Elephas maximus indicus: one gene and its partners. The protein of the gene in region 3 interacts with the protein of the main gene of each other region in a pairwise test. Links are inferred from orthologs where the notes say so. Each region holds a gene or a part of one and is shown on either strand. Other genes may lie near its edges. The genes, in order: ACTL8, CSNK1G2, CERT1 and RTN3.

Region 1 (8,210 bases), on a different chromosome or scaffold from region 3:
GTTCTGGTACTCCAATCACTCGTAGGTTATTTCTCTTGATAGAATCCCACGTAATTCTTAGGGTTTCTTCATTTTTTTTGAAATTCTTTTTATCTGATTTTTCTTTGAATATATTGGTGCCAAGTGTTTTATCTTCAGTCTGATTAATTCTGCCTTCCACTTCCTTAATTCTTCTCCTCTGACTTTCGATTGAGTTGTCTAATCCTGTAATTTTATTGTTAAATCTTCAGAATTTCTGATTGCTGTCTCTATGGATTCTTGCAGCTTGTTAAATTTTTCATGATGTTCTTGAATAACCTTTTTAATTTTTTCAACTGCTTTATCTGTGTGTTCCTTGGCTTGTTCTGCGTTTTGCCTGATCTTGTTCCTGATGTCTTGACGGGTTCTGTATTAGTCGTTTGTATTCTCCATCTGGTAATTCCAGGAAGACACCTTCATCCAGAGCTTATTGAAGCACTCATGGTCTGCGTCTTTATGTGATTTGATACTGACTGTTGTCTCTGAGCTGTCTATAAGTTATTTATTGGTTTATTTTGTTTGCTTACTATATCCTAGTTTCTTGCCTTGTTTTGTTTTGAGATGCCCAGATAGGCTGCTTGAGTGAGCTAGCTTGATTGTTTTTGCCTTTAAAGCTCTAACGTCCTGTCACCAGATGGCTAGAGCTATTACCAGGTATATGAGCCTAGGAGTCTATTCACTTTTCTTGTATGGATTCAGCTCAGGTGTCCAGGTGGTTGGTCATCAAGTGTGTGGTACAGGCTCTGTCCTACAGCCTCAGAGGGGCAGGGGTGATTGGTGTAGGTGCAGGTATCTGGTTGCAGCAGGGGGTCACGCTCTGAACAAGGCAGGGGACTGACAACTGTCCCCCAAGTATCTATGAGGAAAGCACATCCCTGTTCCCTAGAGTGCACAGGTGGGTGGGTTCTGCAGCCAGACCATGGGCACCCAATGCTTTTGGTTGTAAGGACTGGGAGGTACCACTTATCCTTGGACCCCTGTTGTGGGTGGCTAGGTTATGTGGGTGGAGCCACCAGTCTTTAGGGCCCCGATGTGGTTAGGCGAGGACCCTGTTTAATAGGCAAAGTGGTGTCAAACATCAAGTACCCACCTTTCCACCACATAACTGAAACAGTTGTAGTCTGCCAACAAGGGCCTGTGTTATTGATTCGTGCCAGTAATGCTGGAGTAAGATGGTATTTTTTTGTAGATTTTAGAAATTTGTCTGATTTATAATAGCCAATTTTTTTTCACAGTCTGTAGGTTCTCTTTTTACTCTTTTGGTGAAGTCTTTTGATGAGCCTAAGTGTTTAATTTTTAGAAGATCCTGGTTATTTAGCTTATCCTCTGGAACTTGTGTGTTGTTGGTTGCAGTTTGTATCCCGTTAATGCTGTGTATTAGGGCCTCTAGCATTGATCCTATTTTTTCTTCTATGAACTTCATTATTTTGGGCTTTATATTTAGGTCTTTGATCCATTTTGAGTTAGTTTTTATATATGGTGTGAGGTATGGGTCCTGTTTCATCTTTTTGCAGATGGACATCCAGTTTTGCTGGTACCATTTATTAAAAAGACGGTCTTTTCCCCATCTGATGGACTTTGGGTCCTTGTTGAAGATCAGGTGACCTTAGGTAGATAGATTTACATCTGGGTTCTCAATTTTGTTCCCTTGGTCAATGTATCTGTCCTTGTGCCAGTATCAGGCTATTTGGCTACTGTAGCTTTATACTATGTTCCTGAGGTCAGGTAGTGTGAGTCCTCCTACTTTATTCTTCTTCTTCAATAGTGCTTTACTTATCTGGGGCTTCTTCCCTTTATGTATAAAGTTGATGGTAAGTTTTTCCATCTCTTTAAAGAATGTTGTTGGTATTTGAATTGGGATTGCATTGTATTTGTAAATTGCTTTGGTAGAATTGTCATTTTCACAGTATCGAGTCTACCTATCCATGGTATGTTTTTCCATTTATGTAGATCTCTTTTGGTTTCTTGCAGTAGTGTTTTGTAGTTTTCTTTGTATAGGTCTTTTACATCCCTGGTTAGATTTATTCCCATGTATTTTATTTTTTTAGGGGCTATTATAAATGGTGTTTTTTTTCCTGATTTCATTTTCATCGTTCTCTTTATTGGTGTATAGGAATTCAACTGATTTTCGTATGTTTATCTTGTATCATGCTACTCTGAGGAATCTTTCTATTAGTTCCAGTAGGTTTCTTGTGGAGTCTTTTGAGTTTTCTATGTATAGTATCATATCATCCACAAATAGGGAGAGTTTAACTTCTTTATTACCAATTTGGGTGCCCTTTTTTTCTTTTTATTTCTGTTTCTTGCTTCATTGCTCTAGCTAGGACTTCCAACACAATGTTAAATAGGAGTGGTGATAAAGGGCATCCTTGTGTTGTTCCTGTTCTCAAGAAGAATGTTTCCAGCCTCTGTCCATTAAGAATGATGTTGGCTGTTGGTTTTGCATATATGCCCTTTATTATGTTGAGAGATTTTCCTTCTATACCTATTTTATTGAGAGTTTTTGTCAGAAATGGGTGTTGGACTTCGTTGAATACCTTTTCTGCATGATTGAGAAGATCATGTGATTCTTTTCTTTTTATTTATGTGGTGGATTAGGTTGATTGATTTTCTAATATTGAACCATCCTTGCATACCTGGTATGAATCCTACTTGGTCGTAGCATATTATTTTTTTGATATGCTGCTGAATTCTGTTGGCTAGAATTTTGTTGAGAATTTTTGCGTTTATATTCATGAGAGATATTGGTGTGTAATTTTCTTTTTTTGTGGTGTCTTTGCCTGGTTTTTGTATCAGAGTTATGCTGGCTTTGTAGAATCAACTCGAAAATATCGCTTCCTTTTCTGTGTTCTGAAGTAGTTTGAGCAGTAGTGGTGTAAGCTCTTCTCTGAATGTTTGGTAGAATTTTCCAGTAGCCATGTGGGCCAGGATTTTTTTTGTTGTTGTTGGAAGTTTTTTAAAATTACCTTTTCATTCTCTTCTCTGGTTATAGGTCTGTTCAGATTTTCAACATCATTTTGTGTTAGTTTGGGTAGGTAGTGTTTTTCTAGAAATTTGTCTATTTCCTCTAGGTTTGCACATTTGTTGGAGTATAGTTTTTCATAGTACTCTGTTATGCTCCTTTTTATCTCAGTTGGGTCTGTTGTAATGTCCCCCATTTCATTTCTTATTTGGTTAATTTGCATCCTCTCAGGTTGTTCTTTTGTCAGTTTTGAGCCACCAACTTTTTAGGTTAGTACTCAAGCACAAGCCATTTGCACCACCTTGGGAACCCTGGTGGTGTAGTGGTTAAGAGCTACAGCTGCTAACCAAAAGATCAGCAGTTCAAATCCACCAGGTGCTCCTTGGAAACTCTATGGGACAGTTCTACTGTGTCCTATAGGGTCACTATAAGTTGGAATCGACTCAACGGTAACTGGTTTGGTTTTTTTTTTTTTAGAGACCTATAATTGCATCACCTCTCCCAAATTCCACCATGCCTGTTTGTTATCAATCCCTTTCACCACCTCTGGCTACTGGCAACAATTGATCTGTTTTCTGTTGGTATAATTTTGCTTTTTCTAGAATGTCATATGAATGGGATCATACAGTACGTAGCCTTTTGAGTCTGGTTTCTTTCACTCAGTTTAATGCATTAGAAATTCATCCATGTCGTATGTATTGGCTATTTGTTCGTTTTTATGGATTGAATTGAATTCAATTCAATTGAATGGATGAATTCATTCAATTGAATGGATGTTTACCTATTCATTTTCCATTTGAAGGATATTTGGGTTGTTTCTGGTTTTTTGTGGTTTGGAATAAAGCAAGTATAAATATGCATATAAAAGTTTTTGTGTGGATATAAGTTTTTATTTCTCTTAGGTAAATACCTAGGAGTGGAATTGCTATGTCATGTGATAGATATATGTTTTTATAGTCTCACCAGCAGTGTATGAGGGTTCCAGTCCCTCCATATCTTCTTCAATACTTGGTATGATCAGTCTTTTTAATTTTGGCCATTCTAATAGGTATGTGGTGGTATTTAATTGTGTTTTTAATTTACATTTCCCTAATGACTAATTATGTTAAACATCTTGTCAAGTGCTTATTTGCCATCAATATATTTTCTTTGGTGAAGTGTCTGTTCAAATCTTTTGCCCATTTTAGAACTGGGTTGTTTGTTTTTCTTATTTTTGAGTTTTGAGAGTTCTTTATATACTCTGGATACAAGATCCCCATCTGTAAGATGAGTGTAAAAATGGGACATGCCTCACAGACTTATGTTAAAGATTAAATGTGTCAAAATACTAGTCTGAGTCATAAGAATTTGCTGATTTATAACCATTTTTGACCTATACAAAGGGCAATTTTACATAGTTGAGTATAATATGTAAAATGTTCCTTGTAGTGGTAGGTAGAGGGTATGTACTCTAGAAATAGTAGCTGCAGCTACTATCATCATCATCATTATTATCATTGTTACTGCTTCTGCTGCTGTTACTACTATACTAATATTAGTATTGAAGGCAGTGGCTCCTGAGGCTGTTCTTTCCTGCTCCCCAAGTCCTCTGCTCAGGCAGTCAACTTTCACCAAGTTCTTCCTGTGTGCCAAGCTTCTTGCTAAGTCTGCAAAAACTAATAAGACCCAACCTTTGCTCTTGTGGAGTAGAAATGCCACCTGGTATAATAGGTGCAACAGAGGAAACTTGATGAGAACGAGGACACTGGCAGGCCTTCCCAAGTAAGGCCTGTTAGTTGGGCCTTGTAGGATGATTGGGGGTTTGAGATGGAATAACATGCCAAGCACAGGTTAGAGCTTGTGCAAGGCTTGGAAGGGGGAATAAGCAAGCTTCAGGGAGAGCCTGAGGCTGTGAATGTGGGGCTGGGAAGCAGCCTATGGTGGCCTAGAAAGTGTTCATCAATATCCCCTACCTCATCTTTCCATAGGTGGCCCTAGTTTTCCAGACATTCTCGGGGAGCCACATCCAGAAGACCTCTCCATTTACCTCTGCCATGGGCTCAAGAACCATTATCATTGACCACGGGTCTGGCTTTCTGAAGGCTGGGTTGTCAGGTTGGAATGAACCCCAGATGGTTTTCCCGAGCATTGTGAACTACATACCGTGCCGGGAAAACCCCGGCCCAAGCTACGCCCGGAGACGCGTTAGTCTGGGCATTGACTTCTGCCATCCTGACACCTTCAGCTACCCCATAGAGCGCGGCCGGGTGCTCAACTGGGAGGGCGTGGAGCACATCTGGACATTTGTCTTGGAGAAACACAGGCAGGAACAAGAGGACTTCCCAGTGATGATCACTGAGAGTCCTCTGAGGGAGCCTTCGGACCGACGGAAGACTATGGAGGTAAGACCTTCTCTGGGCTGCCTTCACTGGGACTGGGGAGGAGGCTATACTGGGGAGCATTGTGTCTAGATGTGACAGGTGTTGAGAATTCAGCTTCTTGAAGCATTTGTCCAACAACACTTCCTGGGAATCTAGTATGTGCCTGGAGCCCTGGTGGCGAAGTGGTTAAGAGTTCAGGCTGCTAACCAAAAGGTCAGCAGTCAGAATCCACCAGCCGCTCCTTGGAAACTCTATGGGACAGTTTTACCCTGTTCTGTAGGGTTGCTATGAGTTGGAATTGACTTAATTGCACATAACAACATAACAACAACAGTATGTGTGCCCAGGCCCCTGGGTGGCACAAGTGGTTTGCGATTGGCTACTTTACCTAAAGATTGGTAGTTCCAACCCAACCAGTGCCACAAAAGTAAGGCCTGGCAATCTGCTTCTGTAAAGATTATAACCAAGAAAACCCTATGGAGCAGTTCTACTCTATAGTATACGGGGTTGCCATGAGTTGGAATCGACTTGATGGCAACCAGTTTTTTTTTTTTTTTTAGCATGTGCCCAGCACAGTGCTAGGGAAGAGGGGCTTATAGAGGCTCCTCCTGTGGATGAAGACACAGCAATTAAAATATTCTGTGGATAGGGCGCAAGAGAGGAGATACTGGGTATTCATTCATGGATGCCATAAATGTTCACAGACAAGTGTTCTGGCCCTCACAGAGCTTACATTCTGAGGGAAAACTCAGACCACGAATAAGCTAACAAAACAAATTTCAGATAGTGATCAGTTCTAGAAAAAATATCGAGAGGTAGCTGACTAATGGGGAGTGAAAGAGCGCCTTTGAGAGGTGGTCAAGGAGGGCTTCTCTGAGGAGTTGACTTCAGCCAGTGAAGCTGGAGCCCAGTAAGTGGGAGAGGGGGTGGCAGGAGGCAAGTGGGATGGTGAGGTCAGCAGATGCTTGGGGGAGCGTTTGGGTTTTATTCGAAATCAAGAGTAAGACGGCCTATGGGCCAAATCTGGCCTACCACCTGTTTTTGTAAATAAAGCTTTATTGGACTAGAGCCACACCGATAATTTGCATATTGTCATGACTTCTTTCACACTCCAATAGTGGAGTTGAGTAATTGCAACAGATACTGTATGTCCTGCAAAGGCTAAGAAATTTACAATTGTAGGTTTGCTAGATGACATACAGGATGCCCAGATAGATTTAAATTTCAGATAAACAGCAAGTAATTTTATGGTATAAGTATGTCCCAAATATTATATGGGACATACTTATACTGAGAAAGTATTTGTTGTTTATCTGAAATTCAAATTTAACTGGGCATCCTGTATTTTATTTGCAAAACCTGGCAACAGTATCTGGTCCTTTACAGAAAAAGTTTGCTGAGCCCTATTCTCAGTGAATGGAGGCTCCTGGAGAGTTTCAAGAGAAAGAGTGATATCTGATTTTCTGTTTTAAAAGGATGACCCTGGCTGCTGTTTAAGAAGTGGATGATTGGGGGGGAACAATATTCTGAGAGTGGGAATGGAGGGGATACCCCTTCCATTGAGGGGACAAGATAGGCCTGCTGGGTCCTGAAGAGGTAAGTAAGTGGCCAACGACCACAGACTGGTGGACAGTTATAGTCCTTCTCTACCCAGAGGTTCAGATCCCTGCCAGAGGTGGGGACTGGGTGGGTGGGCGGGGGGCTGTAAATATCCAGAGGATCCCTGGATGGTGCAAATGGTTTGCACTTGACTACTAACCTAAAAAAGCTGGCGATTCAAACCCACCCAATGGCACTGTGGAAGAAAGGCCTGGCAACCTGCTTCTGTAAGGATTACAGCCAAGAAAACCCTATGGAGCAGTTCTCCTCTATAACACATGGCTCACCGCAAGTTGGAATCAATTCAATGGCAAGAGGGGTATAGATCCAGGGGTTGATAGGGCAGGGGGAAAAAGTCAGCCCAGAGATTTTGCCAAACCCTGAATATTGAAATTACAGTTTTACCTTGAAGTTTGGAGAGTTATTATGAAAAAAAAAAAAAAAAAAAACTTCCCCTAAAAGGCAGTGAGTGCATTTCTTTCTTTCTACCCCCACATTTTGGAGGCAGCGGTGAATGTGCAGTGCTTGTTTCTTTTATAATCTCTTCTAAAGGGATGATTCAGGCTGCAAACCTGCCCACTTCCTGGAGTCTGACAGCTCTTCCCCTTTCTCCACCAACACAGTCTGAAGGGCCACCATCAAACAAGCTCTGAGTGCAGATCCAGCTCCATAACTAGCTCTCTAGAGCCTCCTCTTGTCCCCACAGGATGAGCTCCAGAACCCCAGAACCGACATCCTAGGGCCAGCCTGTGAGTCTCCTCGAGTGGAGGTCTATGCGGTTGTCCACTTTGAGAGCTGAGCATGTCGTATAGTCTTGGGGAAATAGAAGACAGTCCAAGCCCTGTGTTCGGGGAAAATGCACTGAATGTATCTCCCTTCTTGCAGATTATGTTTGAGTTGCTGGATGTTCCTTCTGTCCTCCTGGCTGACCAGCTGGAGATGTCACTGTATGCCTCTGGCCTCCTGACTGGCGTAGTGGTTGATTCCGGCTATGGCCTGACCCGTGTAAAATCTTTCCATCTGGGTCGTCCGTTGCCCTCAAGCTGTAAGACGCTGGAGTTTGCCGGCCAAGATCTCTCTGCTTACCTCTTCAAGAGCCTCTTTAAGGAAGACTGCAACCGGCACAACCTGTTTCAGCTAGAGACGGTCGCCACGACCCAGATGGGCAAGTGCTATGTGCCACAGAATTTGGCAGAGGCACTGGACTTTCGTCAGAGCCTGCCCAGTGGCTCCGACGAGAGCAACATCTACCAGCTCCCCGATGGCACACC
Region 2 (7,615 bases), on a different chromosome or scaffold from region 3:
CGCCACCGCCACCCCACACCCCTGCACGCGCGCCCCCACCCCACCGTTGCGTTTCCCCTTGATTTCCCCTAGGCTGAGGCCTGATCGACTCCCACCCCTCACTGAGCCTTTCCTGGGGGTGGAGATCCAGGCCTCCCAGAGCTGCAGCCCCAGGGATGACCATCCAACCGCCTGCACTGATGGGGTGCACCGTGGAGGGACCCCCTCCTGCACATAATGCTGCCGGAAAGAGGTGTAACAACGGGCGCGCTCACGCCCCGTAATGTGAACGTCCTCCCCAAAGCAAACTCGGGGCGCGCGAGGAGCGAGCGTGTCGCCAGGCCCAGCGCAGTGGCCCGCCCGGATCCGGTGTTTCCGGAAAACAAAGCCGGTGGCCAGGACGGAAGGGGCGGCGCGGCCGCAGAGAGCCGGGAGTTCCCGAGCAGCGCCGCAACAGGTCCACCCGACCCACCCGCTCGCGGGACCCCGTCCCCACCCCAAGTCGCCCTCGCCCCGTCCTCAAGAGTCCCAGGGCCCAAGAGGGGCGAGAGTGCGCCGTGTGCGGCAGGCAGGGCTGTCGGAGGGGGAAGGGACCAGGTGGGGCCAGGTGGACGGGGAGGGGGGTGGGCTTCAGTATCAGAGGGAGTGGAGGGGGGACGTGATGCCACACCAAGTGGACAGTAGAGCCGGCTGGACCTGGACTGGGGGGGTCAGTGGAAACATCGGTCTGGAGTATGAGGGTCAGAGGTGGGCAGCAGGACGGGGAGCGGGGGGGGGGGGACGACAATGTTTGCAGTGGCAGGACCAGTGGGGGCGGCTGGACCTGGAGTGGGAGCGTCAGTGGGGACAGGGCTGGAGTGGGCCGTCCATGAAGGTGGTGGACAGGGAGCCTGAACTATGGGGGTCGGTAAGGCTCACTGAGGGCGGCGGGTCTGGAGTAGCGATTCAGGAGATAGGACTAAGCAAGGCACGGGTGTGTGGACTGGGGAGCTGGGGTCTGAACTAGGGGGCGGGGATCTGGACCACCGGGGTGAACGCAGCAGGGGACACGGGACGGGGGTCCGGACCACGGGGGTGAACGGAGCAGGAGACGGGGGTCCGGACCACGGGGGTGAACGGAGCAGGGGACGGGGGCCCGGACCACGGGGGTGAACGGAGCAGGAGACGGGGGTCCGGACCACGGGGGTGAACGGAGCAGGGGACGGGGGTCCGGACCACGGGGGTGAACGGAGCAGGGGACGGGGGCCCGGACCACGGGGGTGAACGGAGCAGGAGACGGGGGTCCGGACCACGGGGGTGAACGGAGCAGGGGACGGGGGCCCGGACCACGGGGGTGAACGGAGCAGGAGACGGGGGTCCGGACCACGGGGGTGAACGGAGCAGGGGACGGGGGTCGGGACCACGGGGGTGAACGGAGCAGGGGGCGGGGGTCCGGATCACCGGGGTGAACGGAGCAGGAGACGGGGGTCCGGACCACCGGGGTGAACGGAGCAGGGGACGGGGGTCGGGACCACGGGGGTGAACGGAGCAGGGGGCGGGGGTCCGGATCACCGGGGTGAACGGAGCAGGAGACGGGGGTCCGGACCACCGGGGTGAACGGAGCAGGGGACGGGGGTCGGGACCACGGGGGTGAACGGAGCAGGGGGCGGGGGTCGGGACCACCGGGGTGAACGGAGCAGGGGGCGGGGGTCGGGACCACGGGGGTGAACGGAGCAGGGGGCGGGGGTCGGGACCACCGGGGTGAACGGAGCAGGGGGCGGGGGTCGGGACCACGGGGGTGAACGGAGCAGGGGGCGGGGGTCGGGACCACCGGGGTGAACGGAGCAGGGGACGGGGGTCGGGACCACGGGGGTGAACGGAGCAGGGGGCGGGGGTCGGGACCACGGGGGTGAACGGAGCAGGGGGCGGGGGTCCGGATCACCGGGGTGAACGGAGCAGGAGACGGGGGTCCGGACCACCGGGGTGAACGGAGCAGGGGACGGGGGTCGGGACCACGGGGGTGAACGGAGCAGGGGGCGGGGGTCGGGACCACCGGGGTGAACGGAGCAGGGGGCGGGGGTCGGGACCACGGGGGTGAACGGAGCAGGGGGCGGGGGTCGGGACCACCGGGGTGAACGGAGCAGGGGGCGGGGGTCGGGACCACGGGGGTGAACGGAGCAGGGGGCGGGGGTCGGGACCACCGGGGTGAACGGAGCAGGGGGCGGGGGTCGGGACCACGGGGGTGAACGGAGCAGGGGGCGGGGGTCCGGACCACCGGGGTGAACGGAGCAGGGGACGGGGGTCGGGACCACGGGGGTGAACGGAGCAGGGGGCGGGGGTCGGGACCACGGGGGTGAACGGAGCAGGGGGCGGGGGTCCGGACCACCGGGGTGAACGGAGCAGGGGGCGGGGGTCGGGACCACGGGGGTGAACGGAGCAGGGAACGGGGGTCCGGACCACGGGGGTGAACGGAGCAGGGGGCGGGGGTCTGGACCACCGGGGTGAACGGAGCAGGGGGCGGGGGTCGGGACCACGGGGGTGAACGGAGCAGGGGGCGGGGGTCGGGACCACCGGGGTGAACGGAGCAGGGGGCGGGGGTCGGGACCACGGGGGTGAACGGAGCAGGGGGCGGGGGTCGGGACCACCGGGGTGAACGGAGCAGGGGGCGGGGGTCGGGACCACGGGGGTGAACGGAGCAGGGGGCGGGGGTCCGGACCACCGGGGTGAACGGAGCAGGGGACGGGGGTCGGGACCACGGGGGTGAACGGAGCAGGGGGCGGGGGTCGGGACCACGGGGGTGAACGGAGCAGGGGGCGGGGGTCCGGACCACCGGGGTGAACGGAGCAGGGGGCGGGGGTCGGGACCACGGGGGTGAACGGAGCAGGGAACGGGGGTCCGGACCACGGGGGTGAACGGAGCAGGGGGCGGGGGTCTGGACCACCGGGGTGAACGGAGCAGGGGGCGAGGGTCCGGACCACGGGGGTGAGCGCAGCAGGGGACGGGGGTCTGAAGCCCGGACTCGGAGGGGGAAGGGCCTGGACCGTGGGGTTCGCGGGGTGGGGCGCCGGGGTGGCCACCCTCGGTCCCGGGGCCGGGCGCGCGTCCGCGGCGAGCGCGCGTCCTTACCTCTCGGCCTCCGCCGTGGCCCCGGCCAGCCGCGCTCGGCGGCCCCGACTCGCCTCAGCAGCGCGCCGCGGCCCTGCGCTCCGGGCCCAGCTCCCGCTCCCGCTCCGGCTCTGGCGCCCGCTCGGGCCCCCGCTCCCGTGCCGCCGCCGCCTCGGCCGGCCTCCGCATGTTCGGGGCGGGGGCCGCGTCCCCGCCGCCCGGCTCCGCACCGCGTCTCGAGCGCCGCCGCCGAGGGCCCGCGCGCCTTACGCCGCCAGCGTCGGCCTGGGGGCGGCGGCCGCGACGCGCGCACAGCGCAGCCGCCGTGCGCCGGGCTGGGCGCGCGCGGGGCCGTAACGTCACAGCGCGGGGTGGGGCCGCGCCAGGCGGCGGTGCAGCGCGTCGGCCCGCCGCCCGCTTTGCGGCATCGGGCGGCTCCGCGCGACAGCTGCCGCGCTTTATGGCCGCTCCGGGGCCGCAGAGCCCCTGCCCGCGGGGCCCCAGGAGGCGCGCGATCGCGGAAGGAGCCAAACGGCTCTTACGCTCGAGGGGCGGGGCTTCCGGTGCCCGCCTGGCCCCGCCCCGCCGTTGCTATGGCGACGCGTGGCCGGTCGCCCTTGCGCCACCGCCCAGCCGCCGCATGTGTGGCGTCATGGTCTCGCCACCTGACGTCACCACGGGGCGGGATTGTGCGTGGCGCGGCTCCGTGGGCGCCCGAGGGAGGCTGGGGACCCCGAGTGGGAAGCAGTGGGGCCTCCATCAACGTTGCAACGACAGGCTGCGGAACGCCGTGGTCCAATGCAGTGCCGTGGCTTACGGCCAAGAGAAATTTTTCACCTGAGTATCATGGCCAGGCTGCCGACCAAAAGGTTGGGGGTTCGAGTCTACCCGGAGGCGCCTCGGAATGAAGACCTGACGATCTACGCCTGAAAATCAGCCCTGGACAACCCTGGTGTTGAGTGCCGTTGGGGGCCATCACGTCGATGCCAACTCATAGCGACCCCATGTGACAGAGTAGAAGTGCCCCGTGGGGTTTTCTAGGCTGTAGTCTATGGGAGCTGTTGGGTGGGTTCAAAGCCAAGGTTTCCGTCGGCAGCCGAGTGTTTAACCATTGGGTAACCGGGGCGCCTTTATTGAAAACCTCAGGGAGCACAGTTCTGCACACATGGGATCCCGTGAGTCGGGGCTGACCCAAGGGTAACTGGTTTTTTTTATTTCGGGTGGTGCAAACAGTGAACGCTAACTGGAAGGATGGAGGTTCAAGTCCACCCAGAGGTGCCTCACAAGAATCTTCTGGTGATCTTCTGAAAAAAATCAGCCACTGAAAACCCTGTGGAACACAGTCGTAGTCTGCACACATAGGGTCACCACGAGTTGAGGTCCACTCCACGGCCGCTGGTTTTTGGGTTTCATGACCCAGGAGGGGGAGATGATTCTAAAATACGGTGCTGGTGGGCTTGTCAGGATCGTGACATACGCAAGACCAAGGAGAGGGTCCTGGCACAGGGAGCGACATCGGCCCCTGCAGGGTGCCATGTTCGAGATGCAGCACCCGAGGCACCCGGTCAGTGGTCTGCTGGGTCTCTGGTGCCAAGTACAGGACCTGGCCCACAATGGACGCTCCATAACTGTGCTTCTCAAAGTACTTGCTCATACATCGTTAGACTCGCTCCGTGACTGAGGAGGGACCCTGGGGAGGGGGTGACTGGCCAAGGCCCCACACATGAGGCTCTGCTCTACCAGGACAGGGCCTGGGAGCGGAAGGGCAGAAACGCTCATGGCCTCCCGGTCTTTAAAGCTGGAGGAATCATAGCAATTCAAATATTTATTAAGTGCCTGCCAATGTCTTTAAGAATAGAACAGTAAGCTAGTCTCTTGGCACCATCTCCCAGAGAGTTCTCAGTCCTGGGGGGCTGGGGGAACAGGACAATGGACAAAATGATTTCAGACAGTGTTATGGGGTGGAGCATGACAGGGTGGCTGAGGGTAGGTCACTCCTTGGGCTGGATGGTTGGGCAGGGTGACCCCTAAGAGCTGAAAGCTGGATGGGAGAAGATAGGAAAGTATCTCGGACTTTCCTTATAGTGCTGCCGTACTGTAGCTGGATAGGGCTGCCAAAAAAAGGCGGGGCTCGGGGGGGTAGAATTAAACTGGAATGTGAAGGCTGACACATTTTAGGGACAAACTAAGCCCGTGCAAAGGAACCCTGGTCACACAACAGTTCAGCCCTCAGCTGCAAATAGAAATGTCAGTGGTTTGAACCGACCCAGCAGCTCCAAGGGAGAAAGACCTGGGGATCTGTTCCCATAATGATTACTGTCCAGAAAGCCCTATGGGGAAGCTCTAATTTGTAATGTGGGGTCGTTATGAGTCAGAATTGACTCAGTGGCACCCAACAACAGCAAGCCCTTGGAGAGGCAGGTTCTAGGTCTTGTTCAGCAGCAATGTGGCAGAGGAAGCCTGAGCCATGTTGGTCTTCGGCACTGTACCCTCTTCCCTTCCCTGACGGCAGTGAATGAGTAAATGCCACGGACCTCACAGGTGCTGGGAACTCAGGGTTGTGTCCGCTCGGACTTCCTTTTCTCCTCTCTCTTAGTCTTTTCCATTCTTGGCGTTGAGGGAAGTCAGCTTTCAGGCACTCAAGCCCCCGGGAGTACAGCAGGCATCTCCTCCAGTGCATTTTGCATTGTAAAAGGTGGGGCAGCTCCTGCAGCTGAAAGAACAGGTAAAGTGAGGCCAACCCTGCGGTTATGCCAGCCAGATGCTGTGTGACCATGGGGAGGGCCACTTACCCTCTCTGGTTCTCTTCTCTTCGTCTGTAAATTGGGGCAAACAAGACCCCCATGGGTATATTGTAGGAATCCGTGAATTACTGAATGAAAAATTACCAGCATGGAAACTTCTGCCTCAGATGACCATATTTCCCTCTAATCACTTGAGTTCTCTAAAAATTGAAATGGCTTCGGTGCTTCCTCATTTATACGCCACTTCAAACATGGGCCACTTGTCCTCACTCCTTTTGGCTTTGTGGAGACGCTGTTTGAGAAGGGTGAGCGTGAGAAACTGCCCCTTCAAAACTTTCAGTAAAATAATACGAGCGTTGAAAAAACGATGAGCTGGTCTCCCCATTGCTGCTTCGCCCCAAGAAAGTAAAGCGATATCCCAAACGAAAAACCAAACCTACTATTGTGGAGTTGATTCCAACTCACAGCAACCCTACAGGATAGAGGAGAACGGCCTCATGGGGTTTCCAGGGCTCTAATTTTTACGGAAGACAGACTGCCACATCTTTCTCCCACGGAGTGGATGGTGGATTCGAACCACGCACCTTTCTGTTAGCAGCTGAGTGCTTAAACACTGTGCACCAGGGTGCCCCCAAAAAATCCCAAACAGCTGTGAGGCAGGGAAGGAGACAGACAGGAAGCACTCCCTTCTGTTCTGTTCCCAAATTCTTCAAGGAGACATTTCCATCTGTCTCCACCTGCACGGGGGACACACTGGGTGGCACAAATAGGTAAGTGTTGGGCTACTAAACAAAAGGTCGGTGATTCAAATCCACCCAGGTGCCTCAGAAGAAAGGCCTGGCACTCTACTTCCAAACAATAACCCATTGAAAACCCTGTGGAGGGTAGTTCTACTCTGACACACACCGGGCCACCCACGAGTCAAGGCTGACCAACGGCAAGTGGTTTAACTTCCGTGGAGGGACCCTGAGCTCGGCTGCTAAGCAAAAAGTCGGCAAACGACCGACAGGCAGTGGGTTTGGGTTTGGTTTTGGAGGGACCCTGAGGACAGTCCAGTGCCGATCCAGGCACAAACCTGAACTGCTCAGCTGACATGTGTTGAATGGAGTTGAATTGAATTGACTTAGTGCTCCCTCGAGCCAGGCCTCTCCCCCCACAGGAAGGGGCTCTGACCTGTGTATTTCCCATTTTGCAGAGGTTTGGAGAAGTGAAGTGACTTGCCTACCACTGTCACCTGGATTCAAACCTTCAACACAGCCACCCTGAACTGGCGGGCAGTGCTGCCTCCAGGTGTTCTTTCGGGGGCGGGGGGCCAGCACCTCCAGCCCAGTCCCAGTGGCTACACAGGCCGAGGTCCCTCTGCCCTGGGACAGGGTCCAGCACAGGGCCTGTGACTAAGTCTGTCACATCAGTTGTCACTCTCGGAGAGCCGGGAGCTGTGGAGGAGACGCTGAGGCTGGGTGACAGCTGTCCACGAGCTGGGCCAAATCCTCAGGCCCAAGAGGCCACGGCACGCAGGACGACTCCAATTACAAAGGGCTTTCCCGCCTGCTGGGGCTCTGCGCCCAACTTCGGGCCTCCAAGGGGGCATCAGTCATCATCTCACGGTCATGGTCAAGTGCAGGGGTCAAGTGACTCACATCCAGGGCTGAAGATGCATGTGACCCTGAATCCGCTCCAGGAACAAGTGGTGTGAAGCTAACTCCCAGGAAACGAAATTCCCAGGAGTGGTGGGTGAGGGTAGGGGCTGTGCCCCGGAGTTACCCGTTGGCGGGTCACTGGGTCTCAGCCTCCTTGTCCATCTAAGG
Region 3 (7,906 bases):
CCAAAGAGGAGAAGGGAAGCCAGATCAATGGAAACAAAACAAACTGAATTGAAATAATAAGAGTGCTCACACATTGTGAAAACTGTAACCAATGTCACTGAACGATTTGCATAAAAATTGTTAAATGGGAACCTAACTTGCTTTGTCGACTTTCACCTAAAACACAATATTTTTTAAAAAAAACCGATATGAGTTCTAACTCTTGTTTAAATTACCAGGTGAATACAAAGGGCTCTAAATATATAAAATCTTTGCCGTTGAGTTGATTCCAACTCACAGCCACCCTATTGGACAGAGTAGAACTGTTCCACAGGGTTTCCAAGGAGCAGCTGGTGGATTCGAACTACTGACCTTTTGGTTAGCAGTCAAATGTTTAACCACTGCACCACCACGGCTCCTGTCAAAATATATAAGTACATTTGAATTTAAAAACATGTGCCATAATCAGCATATATAATTAAGATAAAATACCCTTCATCAAAAAGCTTCCAAAAAACATTATATATAACCATAAGTTGTTAAATTTCAGGAAATTTTCCTTCATAGCTGTTTACGACAATTGCATTGAAACATATATTCTTATTAATTCCATATATGGAGCAACAGTAAAAACTGAAGCTATTCACTTTCCATAAAAACCAAAAACCAAACTTTTTGCGGTCGAGTGGATTCTGACTCATAGTGACTGCAAAGGACAGAGTAGAACTGCCCCATAAGTTTCCAAAGAGCAGCTGGTGGATTCAAACTGCCAACCTTCTGGTTAGGAGCTGACATCTTAACCACTGCACCATAACCCACTGCACCAGAGAAGAGGTCAAATACTACATTTCTATGCATTTAAATATCAAAGAGACAGTCTTTTTTTTTTTTTTTATAATGTATACTATATACAGTGAATATTCAAGAGCAAAAAAGTGACAATCAGTAGATCAAAAGTACAACTTGTTTTGTAAAATACTTAACACCAGCACAGCACTAATACGGCAGTGTGTTTCTCACATAATGAGAAAAAGTGATGAAATGGCCAGAACCATTTAGAAGCAAAGAACCCATTTCATAACTACTCCCACCTGAAAATGTATACAGGTACCTATTATGCACTGTGTTCAATACAGATTCCTTAGTTACAAGATATGTTTAATCTAAAGAAACCCTGGGGAGCTTCACTTTACTGAAAACCTTTCACTTGAATTTCAAGAATGATCACAGTACCAACACACAGCATAATTTTCTGCTGGACAAATAAGTTAACACTTGCAAGATTTTGCTCTTACATTCCTTTCCGAGGCCCTTTCTCACCAGCCTTCTAAAGACATTCTAATAGCCTAATATGAAACATTCCATAAATGAGGTCCGAATGCTTAGCCAAGTATGAATACTGGAAGCAGAGGGATTTCTTAATAGTCAGTGGCTGCACATGACCTAGTACCATATGATCAGATTGTTAAGGCACTGGCCCCAGCTCCCCTTCTCTGCAAGTTAACTGCAAGCTCCAGTCATTTCTAGAAGTTTAACAGGAAGGAAGAAGGAAGTAGAAAAGGCTACGTGAATCTTCCCATAGCAAACACTTAAAAAAAAAAAAGTACTATCAAAAAATCACACACTTTCTCTCTTAAAAAGGGCCTCATCCATTTTAACTCATTAATAGCCTTATAGTCCTACAAATGATTATCTACTTTTCTAAAATTTTGAAAAGGCGATTAAAAAAAATACAGCAAAGTTAAGAGTGTCTTCCTTACCCCGGAACCCTGCCTACAAGAATATTTTATTAATAATTCTCTTCTTCCTGGGCCAAAGGTCGGTCTCCATTATAATTTTTTTTTTTTTTTTGGTACTATCCCGTGTCAATTAAACAGTGCTTTCCTTTTTTTTTCCAGGACAAGGGTACCGGGCTAGGGAAGAACAGTATAGAAGTCCTCCTCATTCATATCTTTTACATCTAACGGGGCGTATCTTGCCTACCACCTCAGATTTCAGCACTAAGCCGAGTTACTCCGGCATCTGCCTACACAGCCGCGTCCGCAGAGCCCCCAACCCGACTCTGCTCAGCATCTCCAGACTAAACTCGTTCGGGGGAGTCCTAATTACACCGCCCCCGTGCCGAGCTGTTCTAACGTCACCGTTGTCCAACTCGGATTCCTCCACCCGGGGCAGCTGCCGCCCTAGGTTCCAAGTCATGTTGCGCATCCCGCCTCCCAAATTGGAGCTCTGGCTTGCACACGGGTCCCCCAGTTCGCCGCTGAGCCTCTAGATAGCCAGGAAGGACAGTCTCTCGCAGCCCCCACCACACCCCTGCCGCGGGCACTCCTGCGGCAGGACTCAGCCCCCCACACCGACACATTCCGCAGCCCCCGCCCCGGGACGGTCCGTGCCGCCGGGCCAGCCGCACCCCAAGCCCTCAGCGGCTTGCCTCGCAGCAAGTGAGTCCGGGCTGCGGTCTCCCGGCCCCGCGGGTTGCTCACCTTGCTAAGGACCCCGCAGCGCTCCACAGGCGGCCCGGACTCCGTCTCCGGATCCTCCTCTGAGCCCGACGAGTTCCAGCTCTGGTTATCCGACATGGAGGCGCGACAGCCAACCAAGAGACTGGCCTCCGCTCCCTGAGGTGCGTCGGGGGAGGCACCCAGTCCCCGGGGTGAAGGGTCCGGGGATGGCGAAGGGAAGAGTGCCCGCTCGGACGCGGGGGGGAGCAGGAGTAAGGACGAAGTCCGCCCGCCGCGTCGCCGCCGCCGCCGCGCCTGACACCGAGCGGACCGGGGAAGGAGGACGAGCGGCGAAGGAAGCCTGCTCTTCCAGCCGTCAGCCGTCGCCGCCGTCGCCGTGACCCCTGCGTTGCGCCCGGTGCCGCCACCTGAACTCGATCCCCTGGATGCCAGTCTTAAACAGGGAAGGAAAGAGGGAGGAAGAGAAAAAGCCAGCTACGGAGACCCGGATCCACTCACACCTCTGCTACGGTCGCCATTTTCCTGCCTGGCCCACTATTTACCCTCCCCTCCCTTTTCCCCTCCCCTTCGTCCTCCCATTCTCTCTCCGCTCCCCTCCCTGTCCCCCTCCCAAAGTCTGACGCTGCACGCCGAGGGCGTAAGGTCCACCTCCCACACCTTACCTATGGCTCTCCCGAGCGACGACGGGTAGAAAAGTAGGTGGGGTGGAGAAAAAAGAGGGAGGGACAGGGGCGCTGCCGTGCTGCATGCTGGGAGGGACTCTGCTCCTTAGCCGCGCAGCCTCCTGGGAGTTGTAGTCGTGAGCTTGAGGCAGCCGGTGAGTGTTTCGCGGGAGTGGGGCTCGTCGTCCTGGGGACGGTCAAGCAGTGGGTGGGCTTCGCGTACCAAAGCTGTGTGACCCGTCCTTTCGGCCTCTCTTCTATTTCTACCTAGTGTGTTTGTGACGAACGCGCCGGGGTTGCGAGCCCGGATGTGAGATTTCGCCACTGAGGTTTCTGGGCCTGCAGCGTGTGACTGCTTTCCGAAAGCCGGTAGCATCTTGCCTCTTGCCTGGGCGGGATGTACCGGACGCTCGCACCTTAGCTGTCCACGGGACGAGGGTTTGCTATCTCTGTAGTGACAAAGGATGTTTTCTTTCCGCCAGGCCACCACTGCAAATTTGGAAGGTTTTCTCTCTCTCTCTTCAGATGTCAGACTTAACGCTTCACCTTTTCCGCTTTTGAAGAATGTCCTCAGCCCCTTATCACGAGAGCAGCACTAAGCATTTTGTTAGCTCTCTAGTGTTTTTAGAAAGTTTGAGGTTGTCAGAGAATGCGTCACGTTAGAAGAATTTTTGAGAATGTGAGATAGTAATCTGAAGTGTTCTGAATTGTAAATTACTGTCTTCCTGAGACACAGTTTAACCATCGCTGCCGATTTGGCGTTCCCTGGAAAGTAGGAATGATTGAAATAGAAAGTTTTTCCGTATAAGACCAAAGTACAGTTGTCTTCTTGAATAAGTGGCTTAGGCAATGGGAGACTGGTTTTGTCTCAAGACTAGAATTAGTGGAAACACCCATAGCAAATCTAACAGATCCTGTCTAGTCCTTTTGAATATAAAGATAACTTGTGAAACCTTTGCATTTTTAGCCTCAGTTATTGCCTTTACTACTTTTCCATCTTGTCAATTTCCTGATTGTTGCGAACAATAAAATTCCTTACTAAACTTTAAAAAAAAATACCTACCTGATTACTGCAGGGACGGGAGGAATAGGAGTGAAATTTTGAGTCTGGGGAAAAGGCACTGTGGCCTGAAATAACTGGTGGGGATGTGGTGAGGCAGAGGAAAATGACATCTGGAAGAAAAAAAAGGAATGATGGGAAGTGTCTCAGAGAAGTACCTTTGATATCTTCCATTCCACTTATAGATGCTGGATCTGCTGTAACCATTTACAAATAGTTTTCCCATTATGTGAAATCAATTGATAATGTATAACTGAAAGCCATTGGGATGAATAACCTTAAGAGAAAGCTTTTAAAAATCCGTTGTCAACATAGTAAAACATAATCCCGAAGTTATCATCCCCCTCCAAAAAAAAGCCATTTAGCACACTTTTCTTCCTTAATGGATTACAAATGAAGGCCAAAAGTGTTGAATACTGTAAATTTTACTTTGCCTTCCAATTACGTAATATAGACTTTGTATTTCTGATTCTTTCAAGCTCTAGGTTTTAAAATGTCATTGAACTTTAGTAAATGATTATGAATTATTGAGAAATCCACTTTATAATACAGTTTAAAATCATGAAAGCATAGTGTGAATTTGTTTTTACAGTGCAATTGATTACGGATTGATTATTTTTGTGTGGCCTTTCTAGCCATGGTCTTGTAACTCCCACCCAGGTAATTGGGCAGGACTGTGTGATAGCCTAAGCCAAGAGGATTGGTCAGTTTTGCCTTAAAAGAGAGCCAGTTCCAGAGCAGAGAGGAGGAGCCTACCATGACCAAGGAAGGCAAGTCCAGCAGAAGAGACCCAGAAGCATAGATCCAGCAGCAGGAGATGGCATGGTGGGCTTCCTAGCCCACAGAGACAGAAAGCTGAGTGCCTTTGGGCAGAGACTGAGGACCTGGGAGAGACATGCCTGTGAGCACAGCTGAGGAGAGGCTATCCTGATGGAAGAACTGTATCCTGAGTGTTCTTGAGCCTGAATTATAACTGTTACTTCCCTAATGTACCCCATAATTGTGAGTGTGGTCTGTGAGTTCTGTGTGGCTATTGCAAAGAATTATGAAACCCAGTAGAGAGAGTGCCGTGGGAGGGACAGTTGGTATTAGAATTGGTGGAGAGGGCAGAGAGAAGAGGTGGATCTGATCTCCACCGTATAGGAATCAGCCTTGGGCTGTTGCTCTTGGTTTCCCTTACTCTTTGTGTGGTTGGAGGAAATCAGATACTGCCCCCAAGCCATTCTTACAGTTTTTAAATTGAGCTTCTATAAGATGGCATTTTATGCATTTTTAGGTTAATCGTATGTGGTTGTAAACCACCAGCACTTAAATCAATTAAGGTGCTCCTTCACTCAGGAAATTGCTTCATTGTATATGAATTAATATGAGGGAAATTGTCTTTTTAAATAGGTTCTGGCCACATTGTTCCTTTATACTTATAAAAAAATTTTTTTGATTTAAGTGCAGAAAAGATGTTTGCATAGTGATTAGAGTGCAACATTAAAGGTTGAGATTCACTTCATTACTGTTCATGGGGAGAAACTGCAATACAAAAATAAAATATATGAACTTTCTTTATTCTCTGGTGGGAGTGATAGCTTCTGAGTTTTCTCTTACTTAGGGCCTTTTGGAAACCCTGGTGGCGTAGTGGTTAAGTGCTACGGCTGCTAACCAAGAGGTCGGCAGTTCAAATCTGCCAGGTGCTCCTTGGAAACTCTATGGGGCAGTTAGTTGTACTCTGTTGTATAGGGTCGCTGTGAGTTGGAATCGACTAGATGGCAGTGGGTTTGGTTTGGTTTTTTGGTAGGGCCTTTTGCAACCCACTTATAAATGGTGTATATTTTCTTTTAGTAATTTTTTTTAGAACTTGAATCCATCTGAGGTGTGTGTGTGTGTGTATACGGAATGAGGTAGGAATTTAGTTTTTTATTAGAGATGGTCGACCACTTGACCCAATACTTGCTTGTATAGTGTATACATACCTTTCTACCTTTATGATATACAAAACCCCATATACCCCTTAAGTCTGTTTCTGGACTCCATTCTTTTTCATTAATGTATTTGTGTATATCTATGGAGCTCTGGTGCCAAAGTGCTTAAGAGCTCAGGCTGCTAACCAAAAGGTCGGCAGTTGGAATCTACCAGCAGCTCCTCAGAAACCCTATGGAGCAGTTCTGCACTGTCTTGTAGGGTCACTATTAGTTGGAATCAACTCACGGTGCACAACAACAACATGCTAATACGAGAGAAGCTCTGGTGGAGCAGTGGTTAAGCACTTAGCTGCTAACTGAAAGGTTGGTCGTTTGAACCCACCAGCAGCTTGAGGGAAGGTGTGGCAATCTGCTTCCATAAAAATTACAGCCTTGGAAACTCTGGGGACAGTTTTACTCTGTCCTACAGGGTCATTGTTGTTAGTAGGAATTGGCTTGACGGCAGTGGGTTTTGTGGGTATAGGGTCACAATGAGTCAGAATTGACTCAATGGCAACAGGTTTGGTTTTTGGTTTTATTTTAGAATTTTGAAATTTAGAATTTTAGAACAGCTTGTCAAACTGCATGAAAAAATTTTATGGAGATTTGGATTGAGAATACACTTAATTTGTGAAGAAATGACATCTTTACAATGTTAAGTCTTGGTACTATTCAGATACTTTACCTTTATCTGACTTATTTTTATCCAACTTATTTCTTAGAAATTATGTAAAGTGAACATTATTCCCATTTTAAGGATAACTGAAGCTTAGAGAGGATACACTTGCCAAATATCATACAGCTAAGTGGCAGAGTTAGGATTTGAACCTAGGTCTCTCTCTCTGATTTAAAAGATCATGCCCTTTTCTCTGTTTCAGAATACCTGCAAAAGTGGGAAGAATTGTATGAATAAATAATGTATTCTGTAGGTCAGTATACCAGAGAGCTCAAATGGACTGGTATTGGCCATTTTGAATCAGAAAAACTTATGGTCTGCTATGCTGGGTGTCTTGGTCATCTAGGGCTGCTATAACAGAAATACCACAAGTGGATGGCTTTAACAAAGAGAAGTTTATTCTCTCACAAACCGGTAGGCTAGAAGTACGAATTCAGGGCTCCAGCTTCAAGGGAAGGCTTTCTGTCTCTGTTGGCTGTGGATTAAGGCCCTTGTCATCAGTCTTCCCTTGGCCTGGGAATACCTAAGCACAGGAACCTCAGGTCCAAAGGAAGTGCTCTGCTCCTGGCGCTGCTTTCTTGGTGGTATGAGGTCCTCCTGTCTCTCTTCTTGTTTCTCTCTTTTATATCTCAGAAGAGATTGGCTTAAGACACTATCTAATCTTGTAGATCTCACCAGTATAACTGCCGCTAGTCCATATCATTACATCATAGGGATAGGATTTACAACACACAGGAAAATCACATCAGATGACAATCAGTCATACAATACTGAGACTCATGACCTAGCCAAGTTGACAGATATTTTGGGGGATACAATTCAGTCCCTAACACTGGGAATGACAAATTGAAGAGGAATGGCATTACATTCATCATCATAAAGAACATTTCAAGATCTATCCTGAAGTAGAGCGCTGTCAGTGACAGGATAATATCCATATATCTACAAGGAAGACCAATTAATACAACTGCTATTCAAATTTATGCACCAACCACTAAGGCTAAAGATGAAGAAATTGTATATTTTTACCAATTTCTGCCATCTGAAATTGATCAGGCATGCAATCAAGACTCATTGATAATTACTGGTGATTGGACTTTGAAAGTTGGAAACAA
Region 4 (7,680 bases), on a different chromosome or scaffold from region 3:
ACTTACTCTTCTGCTTTTATGTTTTAAAAGGCTCTAAAACCAACAGGAGCTTGGTGAAAGCACATGAGGCTGAAGGCTGACGGCAACACTTGGTAGATTTTTTAGCATTCATTTTCATAGGTTAAATTCTGGAATAACAGACGTCATCTTATTTTCATGATACTGAAGCCTGAGACATTTTCCATGAGAGGCAGAGGAACCATTTTGCAAGGAGGAAGAGCTTCTGCAATGAAATGACTATACATTGCGGTATCTTAAGGTAAACGTTTATATTCCAGTAGGGATCTGACAAATGAGGATCTTGCATTGGGCTCACCAATACTTACATACACACTGGTAAGAGTTTAAGGCAGAGTGTCTACCTAGTTCATTTTTCAGGTGTTACTTTCTAGCTCATAGGTTTGATGGTCATTCAACAAATACTTGTCAAGGTCCAAAGGTGACAAAGTGCCTATGACTAATCTGATAAATAAAAATTCTGTAATAAAACTTTACTAAGAAATAATGGATAAACATTGAGGCATTTAATAGTACTGGGAAAATGTAATGAAAACCTATGTACTTTTAATGTGTGTACTTGGGACAACACTTTAAAATATAAATTCCACTACTTTCTGTAAAACACATAATTTCAGCATTCTTTCCACCATCATACAGTGGCGGGGCGGGGGGCGGGGGGGAAGGTAAAGCCAAGAATAAATAAAAATTGTGACAAGGATAAATGGTATCAGAAACACAAACCAAAGAGATTACATATTAAATATGTATTTCCAATTCAGGGTTTGCTTGGTGGGGTGTACATGTGCGTGTCTGTGAACAAAATATTTTCATTTCACTGGACTATTAAAGAAGCCAATTCTTCCATTACAGAGCATTAAGGGAAAAAAAAGAAGCCAATTTTCAAATGATTTCACCATTTGGCTGCAAATGTTAGGACTAAATTTTAATGCCTGCTAATAAGAATGACCCTCAACATTTAACACTGGTCTTATCTTGAGCACTAAAGGGCAATCCCAAAAACTCAGGTCTGAATCAAATACAGAAAAATCAAAAGGTTTGCACCAAAGGACCAAACAGTAAGCAGAGACAAGTAATTAAAGCCAAAACACCAAGTCGCTAAATAAGAAAGAAGCTGCTGTTCATTTGGATCTTTGCCCAGAACACAAAAATTTGGAGAAACGCTGGTGGTGTGAAGGAAACGAGGGTTCCAAATTTGCTGCCTCATTCCGTTGAGGGCGAATCCTGACCTGCAAAAGCGTCCTCTGATACGGTCTGTTTCCAATGAAATGACCATAACCACACTGGAAAATCCGACCAGGCACCAAAGCTCTTAAACAGGTGGAAATCTACTATCAGCACGGGGAGAATATATTTAAAGCTAAGATCAGAAATCTTATTTCTTTAGAACGATCAACCCAAGATTCTGGCAAAGGAGACAAAGAACCATTTTAAAATATCTCAAATCCTTTAACATAACTAGAGAGCAAAATTATCTAGCTTATGGCCCTTCCTTTAACAAAAAGCATTTTATTTTATTTTTTAATTCAAAGACTCAATTCCTTTAAGAACCACCACCTGCCTGCTCATGGTGCATTTTCTTCCCCTCAAGACGGCATCTGCACTGCAGATCTCTGCATGAGGGGAGCCTGCCAGCCAGCTCCCACCAGCAGGCAGACGCGTATACAATGGAAACTAAAGGCGGCCTGCAGCTTCGCTTCTCGTCTTTCACAGAGATGGGAGGAGAAGGGGCTTCAACCAGCTCCTGCTTTGTCTGAATTTCTCCCCCCGCCCCCCTTTCTGCAGCAAACGCCCCCTTTTGTTACAATGCGATTGATAATAGCCCACAAAAAAAAAAAAAAATACAAAACCCAAACACATTTGATGGCTTCTCATTGCTCCTTATTTATTACCTTCTAGAATATATGCGACTGATTGCATACGCCCACCCCCACGCCGCGCCAGGGAAGAGTGGGCTGTGCTGCAGAGGCAGCCACGGATCCATCTTGGCCCACCAGCTGTTCCCTCCCAAATCTTCCCCGAGCTATTCTCATCACGCCTCTTTAAATCGGGCATGCCACCAAAAATTAAAGGCACAAAAAACAGTAAAGAAACAGGTTTAACTTCCTCATTCTCCCCACGGGCAAAAAAAAACACAAAAAACACTGAAGACTACCATGTCTGATTATGACAACACCTGTCTGCAAATCTGCACTGCAACCTTTCCACCTCCATCCCCTCAAAATCCTAATTATTGCTCCTATCACCAACCTGTCCCGATCCTCTTTATAGCCTCAGTCTCTCTAATCCTCCACTAAATCAACCCCATTCAGACGACTGCGCTTTCGTCGCCCCGAACCTGGCTCGTCATATGTTTGCAGCAATAGTCCATCTAATCCCACCCTCCCCCGAACTGGTGTTTTTCCCCCACCAGACAGATCTTGGTGTTAACGCCTACTCTCTAGGCTACCTCCCCACCCCCAACCTGTTTTCCCCACACCCCGTTATTTCCTCATCGCTTGCACGACCTTAGGCTCCCCTCCCCCTTTGCCCATTTTCCAAACGCTCATTCCCGGGGGCCGAATCCCTCAGCAGCCGAGGGTAGTTTGCCGGTCCCCTCACCCCACTGCGCCCCCCGACTGAGCCCCCGGCCCCGAGCACCCTCCCTCCCGAGGGCAGGGGCTCCCCGGCTCTCCTCACCCGCACAGGAGGAGCCGCAGGTCTTCGCCCCCAGGGCGGGGCAGGCTCCCGGGCTCCCGCCGCCGCCGGGCGCGGAGGGCTCGGCCCCGGAGGACGACGAGGAGACGGACGGAGATTGAGTGGCCGCCGACGGCTCCGCCATGGCTGCGCGAGCAAGGGCGGGAGACGGGTGAGGAGAGATGTGGGGCGGGAGAGAGGGAAGGGAAATAAACTAATCGGGCAGCTGGCGCTCCGAAGTCCCCTCAGCCTTCCTGCTCCGAGGACAGACTCCGACTGACTGACCGACTGAGCCCAGGCGAGCGCGAGAGAGGAGGGAGGGAGGGAGAGCGCGCAGGCGCACAAAGGGCCCTCGAGCGCACGGCGGGGGCGGGCGGGAGCCTCGCGGAGAAGCCAAGCGGCTCAGAGCGCAGGCGCAAGAACTGTCCCTCCGCGCTCTGCAGGAAAGGCGGGGCAAAGCTGGCCTCCCTTAGCGCCCGGCCTGAGCGGCCGGGGTGGGGCGCGCCCCCCGGGAGGGCCAGAGCAAGGGGCGTGGCCGTGCTCCGAGCTCCGCCCGCCCCTGCGGCCGAAGCGGGAGGTGTTTCCTCATATTTATTTATGTAAACTTTTTTTTTTTTTTAGGGTCGGTAGTTTGTGTTTTTAGCGAGAGACGTTTCTTTTTGCTTCCATTAGATGGGAAGTATCTTTCCCATAAATTACAGAGCCGATGTCTTGTGTCCGATGCATTCCCACCTGAGACTATGAAAACTGAAAACCATAGTGTTGAGCAGGCCCACTTTAAAAGTGCTTTATGAATTTATCTAGACGTGTCGTAATGTGTCATCACCATGCGGCAGAGAAGGCACAGTCCCCCATTTGGTAGGTGGAGGAAGATGCTGAGCAGAGTGAAAAACCATTACTCATTCCAATCACATTGCAATGCAGCCGCCAAACCTACTTCTTATTCTTATCTCGTTGCTCTTTCCAAAGAGGGGTCCACTTTGGGTCTTAAGCTTGACCTTGCCTCTGAATAGGCCTTCGGACAGAGAAGACATATTTTGAAGGAAAAGAAGCTGGTCTGGTGAGGAAAAAAAGAGCCAGGAAATAAGAACATCCTGGCTGTGGTTATGGGGGATGATAACGTATTAAAAATTGAGAATATAACACAAAATTCACATAATAGAGTTTTTTTTATTAAAGGAGTACTTAGTAGAAAATATATTTGAAACCAGACATCCAGCTTATACTGAATTTTGTTCATTTTCTTGTTTCTCCTGGGTTGGCTTGCCAAATTCAAAGCCTACATCTGGTCAAGATATTTGCCAGGTGCATAATCCATTTAAAAAGGAGAACGTATCCTGGAAATAATAAAAATCAAGGCCATAGGCTTTGTTATTGCTAAAGCAGCAATCAATGACCTGAAGGGCAATTGCAGGATCAGCAGATCCTGTAAAGATGCAACCTCATGCAGCAGGAGGTAGTCAGCCAGGCGGCCACAGAGGGCAATCCAAAGGGTAGAAATCTTCTAGAACAGGCAGTGGACTCCATCTGTCCTTGACAGTTTTTAAGGTCAGGTAAAACCCAGACAGGAAAAAAAAAAAAAAAACTCCTAGCAGTTGCAATGCTCTGAAAAAAGCACAGAAGAATATTTCCCAAAATAACTTTGCAGTAAATATCTTACCCTGACACTTACAGCATCAGTTGATAATGCAGCAGCAAAGTGCCCCTTAGATGGCAAAGGGACATACAAGCTGATCTGATAACCAAGCTGGTTGTATACCCGCACTGATAATGAATAAAAAACTCATGTCATTAGGTGATAACCAAGCTGGTTGTATACCCGCACTGATAATGAATAAAAAACTCATGTCATTAGGTGCTGGATAAGGAAATGAATGATGCTGGTCCCTAGCCATCACAATTGCTAGAATCTGGAAAACCCTGGGCTGACAAAGAAGCTCATTTCCATGGCATCTAGAAGCAGAGGGGAAAAAAAAAAAAAAAAAAAAATCATTGCCATTGAGTGGATTCTGACTCTTAGCAACCGTGTAAGTTGAACTGCCCCATAGGGTTTCCAAGGCCACATAATGTTTATGGAAGCGGACTGCCACATCTTTCTCTCTGGCAGCAGCTGCTGGATTCAAACTCACAACCTTTTGGTTAGCAGCCGAGCAGCTTAACCACTGTGTCACCAAGGCTCCTGAGATGCAGAGAAAAGAAGCTGAAAATCAAGACATTGATGTGCTCTTGGTGGTCTCTTCAGACGTTTCAGGGATTTTTTTTACAACGGAGGCCTTTGTGCTAGGCCCAACTGCTGAAGCTGTCTTTCCTTCCTGCTCTTTCTTGCTGTACCTCTCAACCTCCCTGAGACTGATTCCTGCTTGGCATGTTTACATATTTGTATTCATGATTAATTTCACTGATGTTTACTGGTCATATGCTCTGTGTATAACACTATCATGGGCACGTTGGAGGGATCTACAAATATAATATGTTGCTGTGTCTTCAACGAGCTTCAAGCTTCTTGGGGCTTAGAATATACTCACATAAAGCTAAATAATACAAATTAAATAAAACCAAAAACAACCCCAAGCAATAAAAAACCATAGTGCTATGAAATTGGGCCGCAAATAAGTAGTATGAATTTGAAATAGGGGAGGGATTACCATGGAGTTATAGCGGCTCGAGAAGGTTTTATGAAGACGTTCAACCTTAAAATATGGACAGGAGTCTGGAGTGGTAAGGAGGCCATTAGAGGCAGGAGAGGATGGTGTGAAGCAAATGCAGGGATTGCTTTTGTGCAAGTATACAAAATGGCACCCCTCTGGGCAGATGAATTAGGAAAAAAAAAAATCATCTTAGCCATGCAGTTCCATGCTGGCTTGTCTAGCAGAACATGGCCTAGATTTCATCTTCTCTTGCCCCTCCCCTCCTGGGGCTGCCTCAGTGCAGTACACACACTGCTGTGCTGGCCAAAAGCTCAGAAGTGTGACTGTGTATAGGGTGTTTGGGGCATGGTTAGAGCAAGTTGGCTGGAGCCGAGGTCTTGAATTGGGACAAGAGGGAGATAAAACGCGGAAGAAAAGTTGGAACCAGACTGTGGAGAAGCGTTGATATTACACTAAGGAATCGAGAATTTGAAAGTTTTGGGGCAGGAAGGGCTCAGATGGAATTTTTTTTTTTTTAATTTATTTTGTTGTTGTTATTGAGACTATACACAGCAAAACATATGCCAATTCCACCATTTCTACATGTACGATTCAGTGTCATTGATTACATTCTTCAGGTTCCACAACCATTCTTACCCTCCTTTTCTGAGTTGTTCCTCCCACATTTAGCCCACTGCCCCCTAAGGCTCCAATCTAATTTTTTAGTTGTTGTTGTCACTTTGATCCCATATAGATAGTTCTTAAAAGAGCTTAAAAACTTAAGGAAGACATTCTTTACTAATTAAGCTAACCTATTTTTTTATTGTTTGGTTTTAAGAAGACTTCAGAGGATATTTTTGATTTAAGTTTTATACACTGGGCAGTAGTTTCAGGGATTTATCCAGCCTCAATGGCTCCAGGAAGTCTGGAGTCCATGAGAATTTGAAATTCTGTTCTGCATTTCCCCCCTTTTGATCAGGATTCTTCTATAGAGTCAGATGGGATTTTTAGAGTGTTCACTGGAGCATAACCACTTCTCTGGCCCCTACGTTGTTGTCGTTAGGTGCTGTTGAGTTGATTTCGACTGATACTGACTTCATATGGCAGAGCAGAACTGCCCCTTGGGTTTCCTAGGCTATAATCTTTATGGGACCAGGTCACCAGGTCTTTCTCCCCTGCAACTACTGGTTTGAACCACCGACCTTTTGAGTAGCAACGAAGTGCTTAACTGTTCTGCCGAGAGGGCTCCTTTTGCCCCTTTTAGGACTGGCATTTACACAATTATTTCCCACCTCAGCTTCTAGGCCATCTTGTGACTCCACTTTACATATGAACAACGTAAAGGCACAGATGTTTAACTGATGCCCAGGGATGTCAGTATTTAAGCCTGTCCCTTCCTAGTGCCCAGACTGTTGCTTAAATACCATTATTGCAAGTAGATGATAGGGGAGAAGGCTGAAAAATGTCACGGCAAGTGATCATCACGGCAGGTGATAACTATTTACTTGGCTGTTTACCCCAGCAGACTGTGAGTTCCTGAAGGACAGGAATGTGTCTTACGCATTGTTGCAGCATTAATGCCTAGCATGGTGCTTGGCTTGTTGTTGCAGCATTAATGCCTAGCATGGTGCTTGGCTTGTTGTTGCAGCATTAACGCCTAGCGCAGTACTTGGCACCTAAATAAGGCGTTTTTGGAAAGCTTTGGAATCTGAGTCATAGTGAATGCTTATTGCAAAAACAATTTTGTTTTTACGCTTCCTAAAATACTTGAGTATCTTTGTTATGACTTGGTTTTGCTTTTCCAGAATGAATATAATGTGTTCCAATTTTTGAGCACTAAGTACCAGTCATTATTACCAAATGCATCTCATTTAACCTACAGCTCTGTGATGTGGGTATTTGAAGTATTTTGCAGATGAGGAAACAGACTCAGAGAGGACAAATAACTCACCCAGGGTTGCACAGCTGGTGAGCATTAGAGCTGGAATTCAAAGCCAGGTCAGCCTGACTCTAAAGTGTGTGGCCCTTACCGCTCCCGACATGTCTTCATGTCGCTTACTTCTGAACCACGAAGAAGGCTCAACTCAAAGTGAAATGGCTGAAGGCAGAAAGGCTGTAACCAGTATTATCAATATTTAGCATTCTGAACATTCCCTGTTTTGATGACCCTGGATATTTGAGGACATAAAAGCAACAACAACAAACACATTTCTCACTTACGGGGGTTGCTTTCCAAGCTATGGCTAAACCTAAAATCCACTATAATTTGTACCATGTTGTTCTAATGCGGAACAGCTTCTACAAGGTACGGGGAAGGCTGATGTGGTACTAACATTGACCTTGATAATGTTGTCATATT

The links.
Region 1: the proteins of CERT1 (region 3) and ACTL8 interact in binary tests that used the Homo sapiens proteins (3 or more experiments, as listed by UniProt). The two-hybrid records come from large-scale screens. The link is inferred for Elephas maximus indicus from reciprocal best matches to the Homo sapiens genes CERT1 and ACTL8.
Region 2: the proteins of CERT1 (region 3) and CSNK1G2 interact in binary tests that used the Homo sapiens proteins (3 or more experiments, as listed by UniProt). The two-hybrid records come from large-scale screens. The link is inferred for Elephas maximus indicus from reciprocal best matches to the Homo sapiens genes CERT1 and CSNK1G2.
Region 4: the proteins of CERT1 (region 3) and RTN3 interact in binary tests that used the Homo sapiens proteins (3 or more experiments, as listed by UniProt). The link is inferred for Elephas maximus indicus from reciprocal best matches to the Homo sapiens genes CERT1 and RTN3.

Annotation. Positions count from the first base shown.
Region 1 is NC_064821.1:57,104,413-57,112,622, forward strand, and holds the start of ACTL8 (actin-like protein 8), read left to right. Parts: upstream 1-5,013; coding exon 5,014-5,361; intron 5,362-7,824; coding exon 7,825-8,210.
Region 2 is NC_064821.1:1,699,500-1,707,114, reverse strand, and holds the start of CSNK1G2 (casein kinase I), read right to left. Parts: upstream 3,289-7,615; 5' UTR 3,085-3,288; intron 1-3,084. UniProt on the Homo sapiens protein: Serine/threonine-protein kinase. Casein kinases are operationally defined by their preferential utilization of acidic proteins such as caseins as substrates. It can phosphorylate a large number of proteins. Participates in Wnt signaling.
Region 3 is NC_064820.1:80,067,329-80,075,234, forward strand, and holds the start of CERT1 (ceramide transfer protein), read right to left. Parts: upstream 3,190-7,906; coding exon 3,104-3,189; intron 2,875-3,103; coding exon 2,463-2,874; intron 1-2,462. UniProt on the Homo sapiens protein: Shelters ceramides and diacylglycerol lipids inside its START domain and mediates the intracellular trafficking of ceramides and diacylglycerol lipids in a non-vesicular manner.
Region 4 is NC_064825.1:126,879,658-126,887,337, reverse strand, and holds the start of RTN3 (reticulon-3), read right to left. Parts: upstream 3,006-7,680; 5' UTR 2,840-3,005; coding exon 2,698-2,839; intron 1-2,697. UniProt on the Homo sapiens protein: May be involved in membrane trafficking in the early secretory pathway. Inhibits BACE1 activity and amyloid precursor protein processing. May induce caspase-8 cascade and apoptosis.